Linked DNA regions of Cricetulus griseus. The protein of the gene in region 2 purifies or fractionates together with the protein of the main gene of each other region. This does not show direct contact. Links are inferred from orthologs where the notes say so. Each region holds a gene or a part of one and is shown on either strand. Other genes may lie near its edges.

Region 1 (4,435 bases), on a different chromosome or scaffold from region 2:
CAGGGGCATATGTGGCCAGAGGGAAATGGATGCGAGGGTAGGGTACCAGGTTGGTCTGGAATTCTGTCAGGTCAACATTCAGGGCTCCATCAAATCTGAGGGAAGCAGTGATGGAAGACACAATTTGACCTATCAACCTATTTAGGTTAGTGTAGGTGGGGCGCTCAATGTCGAGGTTTCTACGACAGATGTCATAGATGGCCTCGTTGTCTACCATGAAGGCACAATCAGAGTGCTCCAGGGTGGTGTGGGTGGTAAGGATGGAGTTGTAGGGCTCAACCACAGCAGTGGAAACCTGGGGGGCTGGGTAGATGGAGAACTCCAGCTTGGACTTCTTTCCATAATCGACAGAGAGCCGCTCCATCAGCAGGGAGGTGAACCCAGAGCCAGTTCCCCCACCAAAGCTGTGGAAAACCAAGAAGCCCTGAAGACCTGTGCACTGGTCAGCCTGTAGGAAAAAAAGAACAGGCATTGTTTATCAACAGGGCATACTCTCAGCACTGCTTGCAATTCCTCAAGATGGCAAACCACATTTACTTGAAAGGAAAAAATTGTGAATTGGTATTAAAAATGATCTCATGACCCATAGACCACATGTACAAGTCTACTTAATTAATGTAGTGAACAGACTTTACTTATTTTGGCAGGTCCCAACACTCCCCCACACTGCATTTTAAATGAACCCATCCATCTATGGTATTTACCAGCTTGCGAATTCTGTCCAAGACAAGATCAATGATCTCCTTGCCGATGGTGTAGTGGCCACGGGCATAGTTATTGGCAGCATCTTCCTTGCCTGTGATGAGCTGCTCAGGGTGGAAGAGCTGGCGGTAGGTACCAGTGCGAACTTCATCTGGAAAAGGAGATGAAATCAACCATTCACAACAGTAACTGACACACACAAGCTCACTCACTCTTCGGCGGTGTGTGGAGAGGTTCTGAGTATGTGACCAGGACAGAATGCCTCAGGGAAACCCCTGGCCCACTTACCGATGACTGTGGGTTCCAGGTCTACGAACACGGCCCGGGGCACATGCTTGCCAGCGCCTGTCTCACTGAAGAAGGTGTTGAAGGAGTCATCTCCTCCCCCGATGGTCTTGTCACTTGGCATCTGGCCGTCAGGCTGGATGCCATGTTCCAGGCAGTAGAGCTCCCAGCAGGCATTGCCGATCTGGACACCAGCCTGGCCAACGTGGATGGAGATGCACTCACGCTGTGGAAAAGGGGGAAAAATTATGAAATTAAGCTGTATTTCTATTTTAGATTTTAATAGATTTCTAAAGTGTTTCTAATAACACAAATATTGTTGAAATTTATTTGGAGTCATATCCCTCATATGACAGAAACAATAATGAGTACCTGATACAAATACTGCAAAGGGGTGTGGTCTGAATAATGTCACCTTAATACTAAGACTTGGTGCAAACCCATTGTTCTCACAGCCATACTTAAATAGAAGAGTTTTCATGTTCGAAAAATACTTAATACACTGATACTGTAAAGTGAAATAATTGTCTGGAATTATTTTAATTGCTTCTTTTCCTGATAAGTAAAGATGAATGCTTCATCTTTTGTGATCTGGTATTTCAACATGGACATCAGTACTGCGGCTGCGGGCAGGAGCCACACCCTTCTGCAGAACTCATCAGCACTAGACAAAGTGTGACTTCTGCATTGCTGTGTCTGCTGTGCCTGGTGCTAGCCTGTGCCCTTTGTTACATTATTTAACAGAGAAAGCTCTATTTCCAGCAGCTGTCTATACGATCCCCTCGCTGCTTTCAGTTTCCTAACCCTCTTAACCCTGTCTGGGCCATTTGCCTGAAATAATGAATTAGTGAAGATGTATTAGAACAAAAGACAGTTGGATACGGAGTATAATTTTTTTCCTTGCAGCAGTTTCATTAGATAATGAAGATTTTCCAGAATCTTTTCCACTATATAGAAGCAAAATATTCTTAAAGCTAAGTTAGAAACAAGGGCCAACAATAAAAACCGAGTAAAAAGATAACATTTAAAACTAGAAAATGGTATTTTATTCGATGAATCTTTACATACCACATAATATATTAGTATTATTTATTCTATAGAGATAGTTTTCTATTGTCTTTAAAGCTACAACTTTCATTGTCTGCGGGGGTGGGGGGTGGGGAAGGGCGTTTCCCTGGGTTCTGACAATCAGGGTAGTCGAGGCAACCTCACCAACTATCCAGCCCCTCTCTCCCCAGCGAGATGTCCTGGTGTTAAGTAAATCGTACTTTTGACACTCAAGCAAACAAAACCTCTTGTAAGATTACAGTTCCACAGCAATTTTTTAAAAATAAAAATACAAAAACCACTCCCGAGGGAAGTTTAGAGAGGGCGAACCCCTCCCAAAACGCCACGGAAGCAAGAGACAAACAACCCCGCCCCTGCGCCTCCCTGACACCGGCTGCCATGGATCCGACGCAAACTAACCATTTTCCCATAGAAGTGGGGCGGCGTTTCTGGAGTGAGGGCTCGGCCGCCGCCCTGCTCGCCCGCCGCAGCGCACCCCTCTAGCCGTGAACCCCCGCCCTGACGGCCCAGGCTGTGCGAGCAAACACTCGCAGGAGCCTTTGTTCTTCCCCGGGTCTGGGCGTTTCCCTGCCCCGCACTGCGGCTGCGGGATTTACGGACTCCGCGCAAAGCTCAACTTAACAAAGCATTGAGACCACCCTTCCCCGCAGGGGTGACAAAGACTTAGGCTTTCCCTTGAAGATCTCGGGAGACTGATTCCACCCAGTTACGGAGGACCAGGGAAGAAGGCTGGCTCACCATGGTTGCTGCTTTGCGGCTGCCCGGAGGTTGGCGGAGGCGAGGAGGAGGTGTTGCTTCTTACAGCGCGACTCTTAGGCGGTCGATGTAAGAGAACCTGCGGCACATGGGCGGATGCGGCTCCTTATATACAGCTCGGTCACCATGGGGATGGGCCACGGCCTTTTCCTGTTGGTCCAGACCCCTCCGTCTGCCCAGAGAAGCCGCGACAGGAGAGTGGTGATTGGTGCAAGCGACATGGTATGAGGTAATCTCTCCCCCACCCCTTCCCCCTAGCATCCGTAGACTTTGCATCCTCAGACAAAGGCTGAGCAAATGCAACTAGCGGAGCATCCATTATGGGGTGGGGCTGGGGAGGGGAGGGGAGGGGAGGGAAGGGAAGAAAGAAAATCGGGGCTGGGTGATTATACATGACTTAAACCTTAAACTATAGTTAAAATAATCCAAGGTTTTCCCCTACACTTAATCACAGACTTTATGGTTTTTTTTTTTTAATAGAAAATTCCAGCATTTCATACACAGTACACTAAATTTGACCATATTCCCTCAGGATCCAAAGTCTTTAATTGCTTTTAAAAAACCAGCAGAGATAGAAATGATGGTCCAAACGGCTTGGGTAAATGCCGATGTTTACAGTTATTGTTACTGTTGTTTGAACAAGATTCAGAAGCCCACTAAGAATAGGCCAGCATCGTAATCTAAACTGCAGCTGGGGTTCAGAGGCAGGAAGATCTGCAGTTCAAGGTCACCCTAACTGGCACGTAAATCCCAACCTTGGAGGAGCTGAGGCTGGAGGATTACAGCTGGTTTGAGGCCAGCGTGGATTATAGTGTGTGATCATGTCACAAAAAAGCAAAAGAGAACGAACTAAAGAGAAATAATATACAAAACAGAATTTATAGTTCACCATAGAGCTAGCTTTGTTTACGGACAGCACTCCCTACCACCCCTCCACACCCACTCCCCTCCCCCGAGCCTGTGCTATTTTATCTGTAGAAATGAGCTATCCTTTCCAATACAGGGTTCCGAAACTATAAGGAGAAAGAATTGAGTTTTAAAACTAGCTCTTTCTTTGCGTGGGCTTATATTTCTGCATTGCTCTTCTTTGGGGAGGGGTGATATCAAGTAAAACATGACTGAGATACCAAATTTTTAAAAACAGAGAAGAGTTATATAATATAAAAGGAAACCATTTTGTAATGTTGCTTTCATCCCAGACAACTGTGCAATGTCAGCCCGTCTGCAGTTCATTTTACGTAGTTCCCTAAATTCTGTAAATAGCCCCTTCTGCAGTTGGGCTTCTAACTGTGGGAACAGTAGCTCCTCACACCACTGCTATTCAGCTAGAGTCTGTGGTTGTTGCTCAATTGGCCATTGGGACAAAAATGCCTTGCTTTCACCCCTAGGAAATGGATTACAGTGGCATTCTTTCTATTTAGAAAGCCTCCATTATCGGCCAGGATGGTCTATATAAAGCATGTCTCTGAGCTGCAGACCACTGAATATTTGCTGGAAGAAATTTCAGAGGTTAAGAGATATTTGTTTGGGCACCAAGCTGAAAATTTGGATTTTGACAGATGATTTCCCTTTTAGTTTTCATAGCAGAGTCTTGGTTTTCGGCAGACTATTTCCAGTGGACTCT
Region 2 (4,331 bases):
GTCAGTAACTAAGCCCCATGAATCTGGCAGTCCTTGAGCAGAGGGAGTTGGCACAGGGCGCTCTCTCTTAATGAAGTCAGTGTTGATATAGTCACCAGAGCTGTCAGCTCCTCTCTGCTCCTGTGTGGGCTCTTCTGGTTTGGGCTTGATTTTGTTTCCTTTTGCAATAAAAGAAAGTCGGTTAGGTCTCTTAGCCTTGTTCACTGGGGGCTCGTCATCTGAAGGCTTTGCAGGTGACTCCCTATCTCCAGGTTTTGAGAATGAGCCCTCAGTGGAAGGCTTTGAAGACACATCTTTGGTGCCCTGGCTAAAGGAGGCTTCTTTGTCTACACCCCTCCCCAGGAACTTCCCAGGCAACATTGGGACATACTCACTGTGGTCGCTCTGTCCCAAAGGTGAACTCTGAAAAGGACTCGGCAGAGAAAAGTAAGAGCTCCAACTTTTGGAGGAAGAGCCTCCCTGAGGATTGGGGGGATTTTTAGGAATTGCACCTGCTCCAGGAGCCATAAACATGTAGTCACTGTCACTGTCATTGTCCTTAGAGTCATCCTCTTTATTAGTATCCGGTGCTTTGGGGGGACTTGGGACAGGTGGTGGTGGACTCACTCTGGGAAACATCATCATATATCCTCTGGAATCTTCGAATGGTGACCTAGAGTGGCGGCTTTTTGAAGCAGAGGAATTTTGAGGTGCCATTGGCATGTAGTCACTGGAACATGCAAGAGGGGAAGCCACCCCTGGCCTCATTGGCACGTATGGGTCATCCTCGTCTTCATCGAAAGCTCTGGCTCTGTGAGGCCCCCGGGTGGCACCTTCTGGAGTTTCCCTATCTCTCCTCTCTTTGGCTTCTTTGCGTTCTTTTGTGGCCCCTCTGTCTGCACAAAAATAAAGTCGGAATCTTCCCCCAGACTTGCTTTTTCCACCAGTTGCTCCTCCGGCTGGCGGGGGTGGAGGAGGAGGTGGAGGCAGCATTTGCTGTTGCTTGCTTTGAGTGAATTTACCAAAGTATGATCTTTTCTTCAGAGATTTTCCACGGTCACCGTCATCCGAGTTTTTCCCACTTCCTGAGCCCTTGCCTCCTCCTGAGTTCTTGCCGCCACCTGAGCCATGACCATCTCCAGGTCTCCGGCCACCACCTGAGCCATGGCCACCACCAGGCCTCTGGCCTCCACCTGATCCATGGCCACCTGCTGTGCCCTGGCCATTTCCTGAACACTGGTTTCCTCCAGCACCCTGACCTCCTGAACCCCGGCCTCCTGAGCCCTGGCCACCTCCAGATCCCTGACTGCCACCTGAGCACTGGTTTCCTCCTGAGCTCTGGCTGCTGGAGCCTTGGCCACTTGAGCCCTGTCCACCTCCAGAGCCCCGGCCATTTCCTGAGCCCCAGTAGTACATGGGCATGTAATCACCTTCGTTTTCTTCCTCACCTTCCTTGTCTTTTTCTTCAGAGTTGCCAGAGTTGGAGCCCGAGGCTTCACAAGCTCTGTCGTAAGAGGCTTCTTCAGGGTGTGAGACACGTACCGGCGGGCTAGGTGCTAGGCGGCGGGAAAAGCTGGGTGGTCCTGAAACAGCTCTCCTGGACCTGCGGGCTCTGGGCAGGTGCCCCCTTTCTCGCCTGGAGGGAGGCAGAGGCTCGTTGAGTATGAGGCGTCTGGTAAAGAACATCTCTTCCCTGTCTCCGATAGCCCTGAGGTGGCAAAACTGCTCAAAGCGGGATCTTCGGAGCCAGCCGCCGGGCTCCAGCGGGAGCAAGCCCAGGTGCCTCCTAGTGGACAGCAGGGTTAACAGGTGGGCGCCAACGCCGATGCTGTAGCTGCGGCATCGGGCTCTGTACTCATCTGCGCACAAGGCTCTCATCTTCTCCAAAAACAACTCATGCATATTTTGGGCCACCACACAGTCATCTACCTGCATCCACAGCTCCCCTGGACCGATGACAGTGGACCTGCCGACTTCCAGGAAGAAGTACTGCTCTGAGTGCCCACAGCGACGAATGCTCAGCAGCTGGACGACCACACTGGCCACTTCGGTATTGAGCCTCACAAACACAACCTCTTCGTCGGTAAGACACAGCCGGAACACGCCGCTCAGCTCTTTTCTGTGCCCCAGCCCCCTGGGTTTCACTACTACCTGCCACACATCTTTGTAGAAGGGTGGCTCCGCCGCCGCTGCTGCCGCCAGGGCCGCCGGCTCTCCGTCCGGCTGCGCGCCTAGCAAGCCGCAGCGGCGGCGCTTGCTCTCGAGGATGAGGCGGCTGAGGAGCAAGTACCAGCTTTCTTGTTCCGACTCGTTCTCGGCCACCATCGCGAAGTACTCGTCCTGGGTGAAAAGGGCAATAAGGTGTCGGTACCTGGCATCAGCTCGTTGGCTCACGGAGAAGCACTGGTACAGGGTGATCACGCGTCTCGGTGGGATGAGCGCGGGGACCGCAGCACCCGAGGCGGCAGCTGCTGCCGCAGCCGCCGCGGCGCGGACACTGAGGCGGAACTTCTTGGCATTTTCGTAGTATTCCAGACGAGCCGGGGCGTCTGCGGTCTCGAGTTTGAGCACGAAGTAACGCCTGTGCCCATGCTTCTGTTTCCTCAGGTAGCCGCGTTTGCAGACTTCATCCCCGACGGGGAGGTCCTCCTCTTCGGACTCGGAGTCTGACCGGGAGCCAGTGGCCGTGGGGAGCCACATAGCTCCCGGACAGGACGACCGGGTCCCAATGAGTGCGGTCGGGGTTCCCGAGGAACGACGCCGGGTGGTCGCCACTGCTGCTAGAGCTGTGGAGGCTGCTGCTGCTGCAGCTCTCAGTCTCCTTAGTGCTCGGTCGCCAGCGAAGGAGCAACTCGCCATGGGGATGCACCGTGGTTTTTAAGGTGAGCGGAGGAGAGGGGGGGCTCGAGAAGGGAGGGCTGGGGGAAGAGGAGGTCCCCCCTGTCTGCCCGCCCCAGACCCCTCCCGCCTAGACCCGCGTCCCCGCCCACTTCGCTGGGCTCACAGCGGCGGGCAAAACAACACGTGACTGTCGCCTCACGCGGCAGCCCTCTCCAGATCCAGCTACCCGAGCGGTGGCGGGGAGCAAGTGGCCACCAGTAGAGGTGTGCAAGGAAGGGGCACCGGGGGCCACGGAGGCAGAGGCATCTTCAAATTGGCAGAGACCCTTTGGACAAATCACTGTGCCTTTGATCCTGGGCAGAACCGACGGGAGGAGGCGGGGCTCTCTAGCCAGACCAAGCCTAGTCCTGAGTACCAGAAGGCTGGGGCAGTGGGTGGATGTGAAGGGTGGAGAACAGAGCGTCCCGCCACCGGGCCAGAATGGGGAGTCACAGCCCACACTCGATAGGCTGAAGGGGGCTAGAGGTGGTGAGGGGAGATGGGACTTGCACAGTGAGGAATGGTTTGTTTGTTTATTTAGGAAGCGGGGGGGGGGAACTAGGTGAAACCTTTATAAGGTTCTGATTGGCTAGGATACGAGCCAATGGGAGGGTCCAGCAAGGGGGTGGCCCTGTATTCATTAGTTTAGTGAAAGGGGGGGGGGACGGAGATGAGGGGGCGTGGCTGGGGTCCCAGAGTGGGCTTCTCAATCTGGTTGTCTCAGGATCAGGCAGTAAACAACCCTCGGAAAATAGCTGTTAATGGTGGTGATAAATTCCTGCAAATCCCAGAGCCATGGGGACCCCTCTGCCTGGAGAGCTCTCTCTTGCCTCCCTACAGCTCACAAACATTTTCCTTTCTGATGGCAGTCTGCTCTAGTCCCTCCCGCTTCTCACTATGAACTGTGCTCCTTAGCCGAAAGTGTCAATAATCTCTGGAAACCTGTTAAAGACCTGGGTCCTCAGACCTGCTGCACGCCAAAGCTGCACACGCTTCCTCGCCCGCTCCACACCTGACAAAAGCCAGCGACTCTTAAGACTCAGGAATAGCAGCTATGCCTTCAAAATTAACGCCATCTGTACACAGTGTATTTCCAATCCACGAAACAGGTTCGCTAGAGGTAGCGTTTCTATTTGATTGATGACGACTATGAAAGTACAAATTTGGGGGCCTGCAAAGTGTACAGCCATGTTGGAAAAAGCCGGACTTGAATCTTACCGAAAAAGAGTGTTGAGCTGTCATGATATTTTCTCGAGGGCAGTGCTTTGAACGGTGCCTTTTAAGGAATTAACAAATACTAACTTTTTTTTTCCTTGAAGCAGACTGGAAAACTTTACAAAAAGAAAGCTCCTATGTAGAACAAAGGACTGTGCTGAATACATGTCCTCGAATATATTTTACATTCTTCACTTCAAGAAGGTCTTTGCTTCATTTCAGTTTACAAATTGACATCACAAAAATAACAACCTACT

The links. Proteins that work in one complex are often made in the same cells at the same time.
Region 1: the proteins of insulin receptor substrate 4 (region 2) and Tuba1a purify together in Homo sapiens (affinity purification with mass spectrometry; 3 studies listed by BioGRID and IntAct, with this or other methods). This does not show direct contact. The link is inferred for Cricetulus griseus from reciprocal best matches to the Homo sapiens genes IRS4 and TUBA1A.

Annotation. Positions count from the first base shown.
Region 1 is NC_048595.1:395,417,827-395,422,261, forward strand, and holds the start of Tuba1a (tubulin alpha-1A chain), read right to left. Parts: upstream 2,894-4,435; 5' UTR 2,797-2,893; coding exon 2,794-2,796; intron 1,509-2,793; exon of another isoform or gene 1,214-1,508; coding exon 991-1,213; exon of another isoform or gene 854-990; coding exon 705-853; exon of another isoform or gene 648-704; intron 449-647; coding exon 1-448. UniProt on the Homo sapiens protein: Tubulin is the major constituent of microtubules, a cylinder consisting of laterally associated linear protofilaments composed of alpha- and beta-tubulin heterodimers.
Region 2 is NC_048604.1:38,769,581-38,773,911, reverse strand, and holds the start of insulin receptor substrate 4, read right to left. Parts: upstream 2,839-4,331; coding exon 1,272-2,838; intron 1,239-1,271; coding exon 1-1,238. UniProt on the Homo sapiens protein: Acts as an interface between multiple growth factor receptors possessing tyrosine kinase activity, such as insulin receptor, IGF1R and FGFR1, and a complex network of intracellular signaling molecules containing SH2 domains.